3 linked regions of the Schizosaccharomyces pombe genome follow. The gene in region 2 interacts genetically with the main gene of each other region. Each region holds a gene or a part of one and is shown on either strand. Other genes may lie near its edges. The genes, in order: ypa1, fin1 and alp16.

What was found.
Region 1: mutations in fin1 (region 2) and ypa1 together harm fitness more than expected from each alone (negative genetic interaction), as found in Schizosaccharomyces pombe (2 studies listed by BioGRID).
Region 3: mutations in fin1 (region 2) and alp16 together harm fitness more than expected from each alone (negative genetic interaction), as found in Schizosaccharomyces pombe (2 studies listed by BioGRID).

Annotation. Positions count from the first base shown.
Region 1 is NC_003424.3:4,834,598-4,838,177, reverse strand, and holds ypa1 (type 2A protein phosphatase regulator), read right to left. Parts: upstream 1,984-3,580; 5' UTR 1,784-1,983; coding exon 911-1,783; exon of another isoform or gene 868-910; coding exon 763-867; 3' UTR 588-762; downstream 1-587. Other genes in the region: lip2 (lipoate-protein ligase), read left to right, coding at 1-528; trm7 (tRNA 2'-O-ribose methyltransferase), read left to right, coding at 2,233-2,256, 2,475-3,308. UniProt on the Schizosaccharomyces pombe protein: PPIases accelerate the folding of proteins. It catalyzes the cis-trans isomerization of proline imidic peptide bonds in oligopeptides.
Region 2 is NC_003424.3:1,352,547-1,356,304, forward strand, and holds the start of fin1 (NIMA-like serine/threonine protein kinase Fin1), read left to right. Parts: upstream 1-1,674; 5' UTR 1,675-1,813; coding exon 1,814-1,873; intron 1,874-2,141; coding exon 2,142-2,165; intron 2,166-2,211; coding exon 2,212-3,758. Other genes in the region: nucleoporin Nup40, read right to left, coding at 1-690, 878-1,113. UniProt on the Schizosaccharomyces pombe protein: Promotes chromosome condensation and nuclear envelope dynamics during mitosis. Activity appears at metaphase-anaphase transition.
Region 3 is NC_003421.2:432,830-436,587, reverse strand, and holds the start of alp16 (gamma tubulin complex GCP6 subunit Alp16), read left to right. Parts: upstream 1-1,801; 5' UTR 1,802-1,913; coding exon 1,914-3,758. Other genes in the region: ribosome biogenesis protein Rix1, read left to right, coding at 1-651. UniProt on the Schizosaccharomyces pombe protein: Component of the gamma tubule complex that is required for the regulation of both interphase microtubules and mitotic bipolar spindles.

The sequences.
Region 1 (3,580 bases), 3.5 Mb from region 2:
CCGAAGCCAACGATTATCACTTCTCAAGTTTGTCCAGTGTATACACTGGGAAGAAGGGAATCTTCAATTAATTTTACCAAAGGCTTCCCTAAGGCTAAAGTTGTTAAAGCATTGCGTGGTGGGCAAACTACATTTCATGGTCCTGGTCAAATACTTGCATATCCTATTATTGATTTGAAGTCCTTTGGATTAAGTCCACGTGAATATGTGTCAAGGCTAGAGCAAGCGATTATAGCAACATGTAAAAGCTTTGGCATCGAAAAAGCTCATACAACAAAAAACACCGGTGTGTGGGTAACAGAAAACGATAAAATTGCAGCAATTGGTATTCATTTACGCCGAAATATTACTAGTCATGGTCTTGCGCTCAATGTTAGTACGGATCTTAAGTATTTCAATTACATTGTGGGTTGCGGATTATATGGAAAAAACACTACCAGTTTTAAAGACCAAGGAGTTTTTACTGACTTAAAGTCTGTAGAGAAGGTACTGGTAAATAACCTTGATAGCTTTTTAATGAGTAAATAAATTTAAATGTATTAGAAACAGTATTACTTATAAAAAATATAATGCAATAACAGTAATGCTATTCTTGCGATAATTTGGTTTATTAAAAATTTTTTCAGTAAATTTGCGGGCTTTCCTTCCTTTTGGCCCCTATAAAATAGCTTATCAGCAACCATAAAAGATACAATAAATAAAACATAACATTAATAACAGTGACTATTTGTTTTTGAAATTGCACGAAAGATTAAAGTTAAACTACTTTGCAACTAAAGGGTTAAACGGAAAGAGATTTCCAAAATGAAAGTGTTGAACAACAGGATATTTGCTCAGCACTTCCACATCGTACATTTTTATCAATCCCTTGAAAGTAATTAGCTTAATAAATACACACTTCTTAACATACCTGATTGACCTTTGACCATATAGGAACAGCGGTTATATCATACAATATTGGGGAATGTTCGTAAAATGGGCCCTTTTTCATCACGTTTATAAACTTGATAGCACTAAAATACAAGTTGCTATTAGCTTTTTCATCCACTATTTTTTTGTTAAGTATAGCATCAGGCTTTATGATGGAAGATGATGCCTTATCAGCAAGTTGGGCAGAACCAAAAATATAAGGAATAAAAAAATGATCATCAAGCCCCCAAACTCCATGTGAGCCAGCAGGCTCTAAGCGATAAGTTTGAACGAGCTCACGACAAACTTCCAAGTAAACATGGGTTATGTACAAGGCGATAGCTTTATAATCTGCGGCATCTAAAAGTCCCAGCAAGTCCAAGCCCTTAATAAAACCCAAAAAATTTAACTCATGACCCGTACCAAAGTCAATTCTTTGAGAATTACCAAACGATCCCAAAAAATAGTCCAGTAACTCCACTTTTGCCTTACTCAATGAATCAGGAATAATGATGTCCATAATTTGAGAGGCGGAGTCACGTAGCTTTTCGTGCCATATTCGAAAAGCAGGATTACCAAACCGATGCCGACCTGATGCAGGTGGTACAGTTTTAGTAATTTCTTTAACTCTACACAATATTCGTACTAACTTTTCAACTCTTGTTGAGTATTCCACATGATAATCGTTCACACCCACAGATGCAATATTGAGACGCTGTAAAAAATCAAAAATTCGATAATATGCTTTCGATTGTCGAAACGCCGTCATATCGCTCGCCTCCACGATTAGTTTTTCGGGAGTTTTAAACTGTGAACTTTCATCAAACCTTTCATTTTCAAGCTCTAGTATTGTTTTCTCATCTACGACTTGCATTGTAAAGCAATAAACAATGAATCAATCAAGTTCGCGTATACGCCAATAGATTTACGACACTCACTAAGTTACAGGCTTTGATGAACGACTCTTTATTAAAAAAAACCAGGACCAAGTTAAAGAATATAACAGCAACTATAACAGCATTTAAAAACAGCTTGATATTGCTTTCATCAAGATAGAGTATAATAGCAGTATTCGAGAAGAAGCATTTAGCTTATTCAATAACTTGATTAAGATTAGTTTAACGATAATTAGTACTATGGATGTGATTATATCCTAAAATCTTTATAGTGATGTATCCATATGTTAATTCGAACCACTTCATAACAATACGCTACCGAAATAATTATCTCCTAATCAATATTTAACGATATGTTTATTCAATACAATCGATGCAAGAAACGAATATAATAATTTCAACCAGTTTTTACCAAACTGAAAAACAAATGGGGAGAAGCAGCAAAGATAAGGTATGTCTCGTGCGTTACTGAAACCTTGTAAATACTTAACTTTGTAGCGAAAAGTTTACGTTAATTTTATCGAAGTTATATCGTATATTAATGTGTAAACTTTAATGTTTCTCAGTCGCATATAGAAACATTTTAGTTTATTATTTCATTTTTTTTTTATTGCTAAATAATTATTTAACTATTTATTTTGTTAAAATACTAACTTTACACTTTTTTAGAGAGATGCCTATTATCGTCTGGCGAAGGAACAAGGGTGGAGAGCCCGCTCAGCTTTCAAATTGCTCCAATTAAACGAACAGTTCAATTTATTTGAAGGAGCAAAAAGAGTTGTAGACTTATGTGCTGCACCGGGGTCTTGGTCTCAAGTTTTGTCTCGTGAGTTACTCAAAAACATTGATACTTCCATTGCCGCAGATGAGAAACCTATGATTGTTGCTGTTGATCTTCAACCCATGGCACCAATCGATGGGGTATGCACCCTGCAATTAGACATTACTCATCCCAACACCCTTTCAATTATTTTGTCTCACTTTGGTAATGAACCGGCTGATCTCGTAGTTAGTGATGGTGCCCCAGATGTTACTGGTTTGCACGACCTAGATGAATATATTCAAGCACAGATATTGTTAGCTGCATTTAATTTAGCGGTTTGTGTTTTAAAGCCTGGTGGGAAATTTGTTGCAAAAATTTTTCGTGGACGAGATGTTTCACTGTTATACTCTCAGCTTCGTTTGATGTTTCGAAAAGTTTCTTGTGCTAAACCAAGAAGCTCTCGTGCTAGCTCTATCGAGTCCTTTGTCGTTTGTGAAGATTTTAACCCCCCTTCTAATTTTCAACCCGATTTAACAAAACCTTTATGTGTAATCGATCCAACCAATGCTCATGAGATTGCACCATTTATTGCATGTGGTGACCTTGATGGTTATGATGCGGACGCTACTTATCCCGTTGAAATAAATATGAAAAAGGCTACCTTAGACGTTATACAACCTCCAACCGCTCCTCCTTATAAACGAGCTATCGAATTGAAGCATAGCAAGATGATGTCGTAACCTATTATTCCAATTGTCTCTTTTTTATTTAATCTTTTCTTTCGTTTAATTTAGCAGTGGGTTTTACTATTGTATATTATATAGGTATAATCTATTTTTGAACCTATCATTCTTTTTTCATAAAAAAATTAAAGAAAGCAGGATGTGTTCGGTATACTTATAATCAGAATTTCCTCTTATGAATTTTTATCTAAATCAATTACTTTTGATACACACATGCTTTCGTTGAAAGACTTGCTAGTCATGTTTAACTTTATACCTTGCTATAGCAA
Region 2 (3,758 bases):
TTTTTGTGTTGAACAATGACTTTTTTACCAAGACCAGATTGGGATTGGAAATGGGCATCAGCATGCACGGGAATAGACATTGAGGTTTCGGAGGAAGAGGCATCCGTCATTTCCAAGTCTTTATTGCTGTTTCTTAACGTTTTCGGAACATGCTCCTTCGCTTCTGCGGGGCTGTATATACATCCAACCATAAAAGAGTCATTTATCAACATTCCGTTAGACAAAACTGCTTTGGCAGCAGAAGAAGGCTCAGCATATGTTAATTGTAGCCAGTTACCAGATATGGGACCCTTGGAGGGAGTGAATCCGGCACTTGAAGCAGTTAATGAATTCTCGCTAATAATAGTTCCAAAACGAGAAAATTCAGCTATTACTTGATTTGTCAATTCTGGTGGGAAACCGAAAACGATAACGGAGGTATTTGAATCTTGAGGAGCGCCAGACATGGTAAAAGAAGGGTCGTATACCTTTTCAGAGACAGGAGAAAAAGGGGAAGAACTTTGTCCAACATTGAGAGCATTAATTTGCCTAGAGGAAGAAAAGTCATAAATGGATTGAGTAGGAGGAGCATCTTCAATTAAAGATCCGGTACCTAAACGATTTGTATGCAAAAACGGTTTCGGTGTACCAAAGCTGGGTCCGCCGAATTTTGAAGAAGGGGGACTCGAGAGAGATAAACGGAAGGAAGAGCTATTTAGAGAAAATTAGTAAAGGTTCTAAGAGTTTATGTCTAATATTTAAAAATTCATAGGGATTAGGCTGAAGCTCTAACAAATTTGGATATAGATAGATATTAGGTAAAAAAGCAATTATACTAAACAATTTTTTAATCCTCCGTCTTCAAATGTCCCTTAAACTCTTCAAAGAAATTACTTACGATGACTCATATGGTTCTGCTAAAGGCGAGCTAACCTCTGGGGCAAATCGACGCTGCTGACTTGATCCAAAGTGTGAAAGATGACTGGGAACAAATTTTTTTTCTTGTGGAATGTTAGAAACAGATGTTCGAAATCCACGATATTCTTTTTGAGGAGAGGGCGAACGTAAATCATCGACAGAAAGTGGCTTTAAGGTTGATCGATTCGTGATAGAACCACTTCCCCCAAAAGACATGTTTCCGGCAATATTACTAGAGTCTTGTGATAGACTGTTGTGTAACATATGTTTTGCAACGTATATAAATTAGCGGTAAGTTCATTTGAAGGAGATGGCTTGCATGGAATGAATCATGAAGCCTAGCGTAGATCACTAAAACCAATTAACGCAAAATAACAGTTTATTGTTAATGCTATTGATTTTTATAAAACATGCAGATAAATCTTTTGAAAGCCTCAAACTAATATTAATACGTTTAGCTATTCATTTTTTTAAAACTTGATTTAAAGGACTCTGTTAAATTCCAAGCTCATTTACAACAAACCTTATACAATCATGTCATAAAAGGCATTATAGATGATAAAAATTCTCCACAACTTTTTCTCATTGCTTATTGAATAGCGTATCTTTTTCTTACAGAAATTAAAATGCGACTGGATATATATTATAATCGTAGCAATAAGCACCTGAAGTAACAGTGTTACTCCTAACCATGGCAACATTGTTTACACTTGATGATTTAACGAGACACTGCAGAAGAACCAAACATAAACATCTTGGCTTGAAATTCATATACTTAGCACTCAATCACTCCAAGCAGTATTTTTTATATTATTAATTGATAGAAGAATTTTTCTTTTTCTTTAAAGGTCCTACCGAGAAATTTAGTTTTATTTTAAGCTTACCTGAATCTCATGGGCTACTTCTGTTCTGAAGTATGGAAAAATACAAGATTCTTGAGTGTATTGGACATGGGAGTTTTGGAAGGATTTATAAAGTAAGTTTTAATCTTATTTTCACTGAAATTGGTTATTGGATAGCAAAATTCTTTCTTGTTTTCAGTTTATTTGCGAGCAACTACTTGTGGTTGGCAAATGAATCTATAGCATTGAATCAATTGTTTTCTTAAGAAACAGGGAAACTATATTGATTTAAATGCTTTTCGCTATTGTTTGTACTCTATTCAAAACAGTTTTTCAAATTGAAACTTTGATCGATATTTTTTTTTGCAACTCCTTTTTTATGCATTATGCTAACTATTATAGGTTCAACGCTTAAAGGATGGTGCTGTAAGTTTGAAAGCAATTTATTTTTATAGTTATTAATACTTTTTAGCTTTTGGCTCAGAAGGAAATACACTTTGGTAACATTACTCGGCAGGAAAAGCAGTACATCGCAGATGAAGTGAATATTCTTCGTAATCTTAAGCATCCAAATATTGTTCAATACTGCGGAGAAGAATTGAATCGTTCTGCGCAGGTAATAAACCTTTATATGGAATATTGTGGTCATGGTGATTTAGCCAATCTTATTCAACGTTATAAAGAAGAGAAAAAGAGATTTACCGAGCAAGAGGTTCTCAAATTTTTTACGCAATTACTACTTGCTCTGTATCGCTGCCATTATGGAGAAAATGCGCCTGCTTGTGACTCACAGTGGCCAAGAGAAATTTTTCATCCTAAACAATCTGTATTGCATCGAGATATCAAACCTGCGAATATATTTCTTGATGAAAATAATTCAGTTAAGTTAGGAGACTTTGGTTTATCCAAATTGCTGGACAATACGCGTGTCTTCACACAGAGTTACGTGGGAACTCCATACTATATGTCTCCTGAAATAATTCGGAGCAGCCCTTACAGTGCGAAGTCTGATGTTTGGGCTCTTGGCTGTGTTATTTTTGAGATCTGCATGCTTACGCATCCCTTTGAAGGAAGGTCGTATTTGGAATTGCAACGTAATATTTGCCAGGGTAATCTCTCCTGTTGGGATCATCATTACAGCGACGATGTTTTCCTTCTAATCAGGCATTGCTTAGAAGTTAATTCAGACCTCAGACCTACTACTTACCAGCTACTTCGCTCTCCTATTTTATCCGATATTCGTAGTAAATTGGAATCCGAGAGAGTAGTCTTGGAACAAAGCGATTTGCTTCATAAAAAACATCAGATGCTTATTCAATTGGAAAATGATCTCCAATTTCGCGAGCAAAGGCTTTCTGCTCGGGAAAGTGAACTCGAAAACGTTATAGCTTCTCGCTTAGCCCAACGTGAAGAGATATTGCGACGTGAGTTGGAAAAGCAACTGCGTGACATGGATGCTCGTTATCAAAGACACATGCAAACCGTAGTAAACTCTATGCAGAAAATGCGTGTTACAAGTCCTGTGGATCATAATGAACAACCTGAAAGCAGTACCGCTGAGATGTTTGTAGATTGTACAATTGAAGCATCACAATCCCCCCTACTTCATATTCCTAAGTTAGGAATTAGCAAGCCCTTGCAAACGTTATCGTGTCCGGGTTTCACTCTAACTACACAACAACCGATATTGAAAAGACCTACTCTCCGTAAAGAATTATCAAGCAGAGCCTTACATACGACTGCAACATTAATGAAATACAGAGCTAATGCGTCATCTCTAAGGACTACACCTATTGATAAAGATGGCCAAATTACATCGTTACAGCAAAAAAACGGCACGTCGAATCAAGTGGCGGATTGCATGAACAAGTTGCTGCACACATCTTTGGACGGAAAGAAGCTAAGCCCTTCTGAATTGTGTAATAAATTTTCAGACGGTGAAGGTTTACCAAATCGAAAAGTTAGCAAACTTAGCGTAGAGAGCGATGAAACGGCAGTGAGTGCTTCAAGTGGTGAATC
Region 3 (3,758 bases), on a different chromosome or scaffold from region 2:
CCCCAGGTGGATTCTCAATCAGAGTATAAAGAAAGTAGTATTTTGGCTCCATCAAATCCTCCCTTTGAAACAGAGTCGATTACAGATTCCACTGAAATTGAAGGGATCAAAGAGTCTTTTGCATCTACAGATACAGGCTTACAGAATAATTCTACAGCTACCTCCGAGAACAAAAGAAGCGAATCAGAGCTGACTATGTCTAATGTTCTTTCTAATGAGGGTGACAGAAATGAAGAAGGTAGTGAAATCAACTCTTCTCAACCTTCAACTATTAATCACGGGACTGATCACATTAACATTGTTTCGGAAAACAAGGAAACAACTGTTTCACTGTTGCATGGAGATGTTGAGGTTGAGGAGACTACAAATGTTGCATTAAACAATTCTCAGGACACTGAAACCAAATTTACTGCTATAGACGTTGACTTTGTTGACCGACCTACTAGTGTAGTTTCAAGCCAAATTGAAAACATAAATGGTGATGAAAATGGAAACACAACTTCTTCAGTCGTCGAAACTTTTGAAAAAACAACGGATGTCGTAGATGAGAAAACGACTTCTATTAATGTGGAAGGAAACGGAGAAGATGATGAGGAGGAAGACAATATCTCTTTGCCAAGTATAAACTTGGAATCTGATAGTGATAGTTAGTCTTAATTTATAAAAAGGATTTGGGGGTACTGAATGTTTATTTTAAATTCTATTTCTAGATAAGTAGGTTGTCATTTAATCCAAGCTGATTTTTATAAAGTCCTGTATGTATTATCGTCATGGCAAAAAAGGTACATCAAGCTGATATTTGGAGGTTAAAATCAATTGATTTTGACCTCCAGAATACATTGCTTATGTGTTCTCCTTTTTAATTAGCTAAATTTTCCAGTAATACAAAGTACAAAGTCTTGTGTTATCCGCAAAAATTTTTAATTAATCATTTTTATACCATTGGTGTCACAAAAATCCCGATTATTTTAGAGTTAGACTGTCGTTTATGTTTTTTGAGAAAGAATTAAAACAACTTATCTAGTCTAGTGTTTAAAAGAATTTTATACTGTTTCATTAAGAATAATGAAGATATCCCTTTCCAAAGGCAAAAGAAAAGTCGATAACTATATAATGCAAGCTTCTAAACAAACTTGAATTAGTGATTGCAACATTTCTTTTGCCAACAATATTTAAATCCTTCATTGCTTGACACATGGTTTTATGAGAAAAATTAAGAAAGAACATTAAGTACTTCAAATAAATTTGTTGAAGGATCCAAAATTCTCCAAATAGACTTTTTTTATATGAAGATACCATTCATTCAGCTTTGACTCGCATGCGAGCTCTCTGGACAATAAACGATCAAGCCAGCGAGGTATACTGTAACCATAATATCACGAATAGTACAATAAACTTTTTTTTAAAAAAATCTAAATGTACTAACCAGAGAAGCATAAAAGAGCTCTTATAGTTCCATAAAGGATACGTTTTATCCACATAGCACTCTCTTAAAATTAAATGCTGGAATGTCGTTTTGGATAGATTATGCAATTGTGCAATAGTAATTCCTTAACAACTGATAGTTTTTGTTCAATTTATCATTCTGTTTTATTCATCCTGGATACCTTTAACTCCATGTCAGTATTTTCTGTTGTACGGCCACGAGAGTACGGATTTTTGAATTGGTTTCAATGTTAGGATCAATTACTAACGTTCCATTTCTTAGTTTAAGAGACGCATACTTCATTCACATCTTCTAATCCTGACTGTTCTAGATAAGAAGTCATCTTAATTCGCTACGTTAACAACATTATACATTAACTACACACATATTGCCAAATTTTAGTAATTCATAACAAGAGTGTTTTCCAGTAAAGGAGTTGGATCTTGAAATGTACCACTAAAATAGATGATTTTGAAATAAAAATGGAATGGATGGAATTATGAAAAACGACTTGTTATGGTTCGGCAACCACGTTTTCGACCTTACGCCAAATTCATTTGATTCTGATTTTGTCGAGCAGCTTTCGAAATTTGAGGGAAAAGAAGGATTGAAGAGGAAGTTATTTGACTCCTCGGAATACTTTCAAAACTTTTCATTTCAAGTAAACGATGATCTGTTGGGAAAAGATGTCATTCTCGATATTTCAAATCAACAACTAACACCCGCTGTGCCTGGGTGTGAGACATCATCCAATTCCAAACTCATAAGCGCATCTAAGGAAATTACTTCAGAAAGAAAAAGAGCTAAATCCTCAGTGTCCCCCTCTTATCTTACAGATTCATCACCCAGCGATTTATCTGTCGAAAACAAAGTTCTGCTAACATGCCCTAGCTGGGATGGAGAAAATTTTAAAAATTTAGAAGCTAGATCTCCATTCATATCTGAAGCGCCTTCTCGGGTATATGATTATTTTCTTCATAATCAGGATTGGAGTCCGAAACCATTATTTTCTGCACTGCAAGTTTACCCTTTAGCAACTATTTTCAATTGCGTGGCTGGTTTACCACAAGGATTTGAAAGCACAGTGTTTCCATGGAACAAAACCTCAAGCACATTTGAACTCGATCCGACCATCTCCGTTTCAGGAATGTCCGATGAATGTTTTGCTAGTATCGTCCAGAAATTTTCTGCAATTGGGGGTTTAATAAAAAAAGCTTTAAATGAATTCTCTTTATACAAGACCAACATTTCTTTTTATTTATCAAATTTCATTGTGAATGGTGTCTTGCAGTATCGAAAGGAGTTTCAGCGTTGGCTTCGTCTTTATGAGTTCCGTAGATTCGGTCTGATTGGTTTAAGTAACTTTGTTAATTCTTTTTCTTCATTCTTTGAGTTAATTTCACACTTCTTAATAAAATCGGCTCAAAACCTAAAAGGAGATTCCTTGTTAGATTTTCTTTTTGATTATGCGCGTTCATGTCAGAATACCATATCTTACCCCATTGCCCTACAGTGCTTGATATATTGCTCAAATCCCTACTTCAAAAGGCTTGAGCTTGCTTTAAAAGTTTCTTGTGCGTATGGTCACATTGATTCTTCATTGTTCTTATCACTTCCCCGTTTTTTTCCTTCTGAACTTTGTGTAAGCATTGAACAGTGTATTCAATTTTTGTCATTAATAAGGGAACAAAAAGAAATATTTAATAAAAACAACAAAGAATTTATTAACCCTTTGAACATTCGGTTCGCATATTCTTTCAACGACATAAATCAAGCTTGTGTAATAGAGGAGCGCTGCAACTTTTCTTCGCTTTCTTTTGGTAATTTGGAACAAACTTCCGTCAATAATGACAGTGAAGAATTTGAAACGCTGCTTGCTAAAATGAACATGACTCCAGATTTCAACGATAATTTATTACAACTTAAATTTACAGATGATGTGCGCAACGTCTGTCCGCTTAACTTGAATGTTTGCTGCTGTATTGCTGAGCCAATACAATCTTTTATTCTCAGTTTCTTACGTTCGACATATAAAGTTTTAAAAAACGATTTTCAGGTGTTTGATCTTTTAAATTTTTTTCATTCCACTTTTCTTTTTCAAAATTATGAATTCTCTGATAATGTCATTTCTCTGTTAAAATCAAGAAGGCTTGATAAATCTGACCGTAATGAGTTGGCTGAGGACTTGAACTCTGATGACAGATATAATTTTATTTCTCGATTGAAAAAATTCATTTTTATGGAAAAAGAAAAAAATGGGTTGAGCAGGTCTTTATCTAAGAGTATAACTTTTACATTGGATTCTGCGAGCGTTAGTGAATTTGAGGATGTG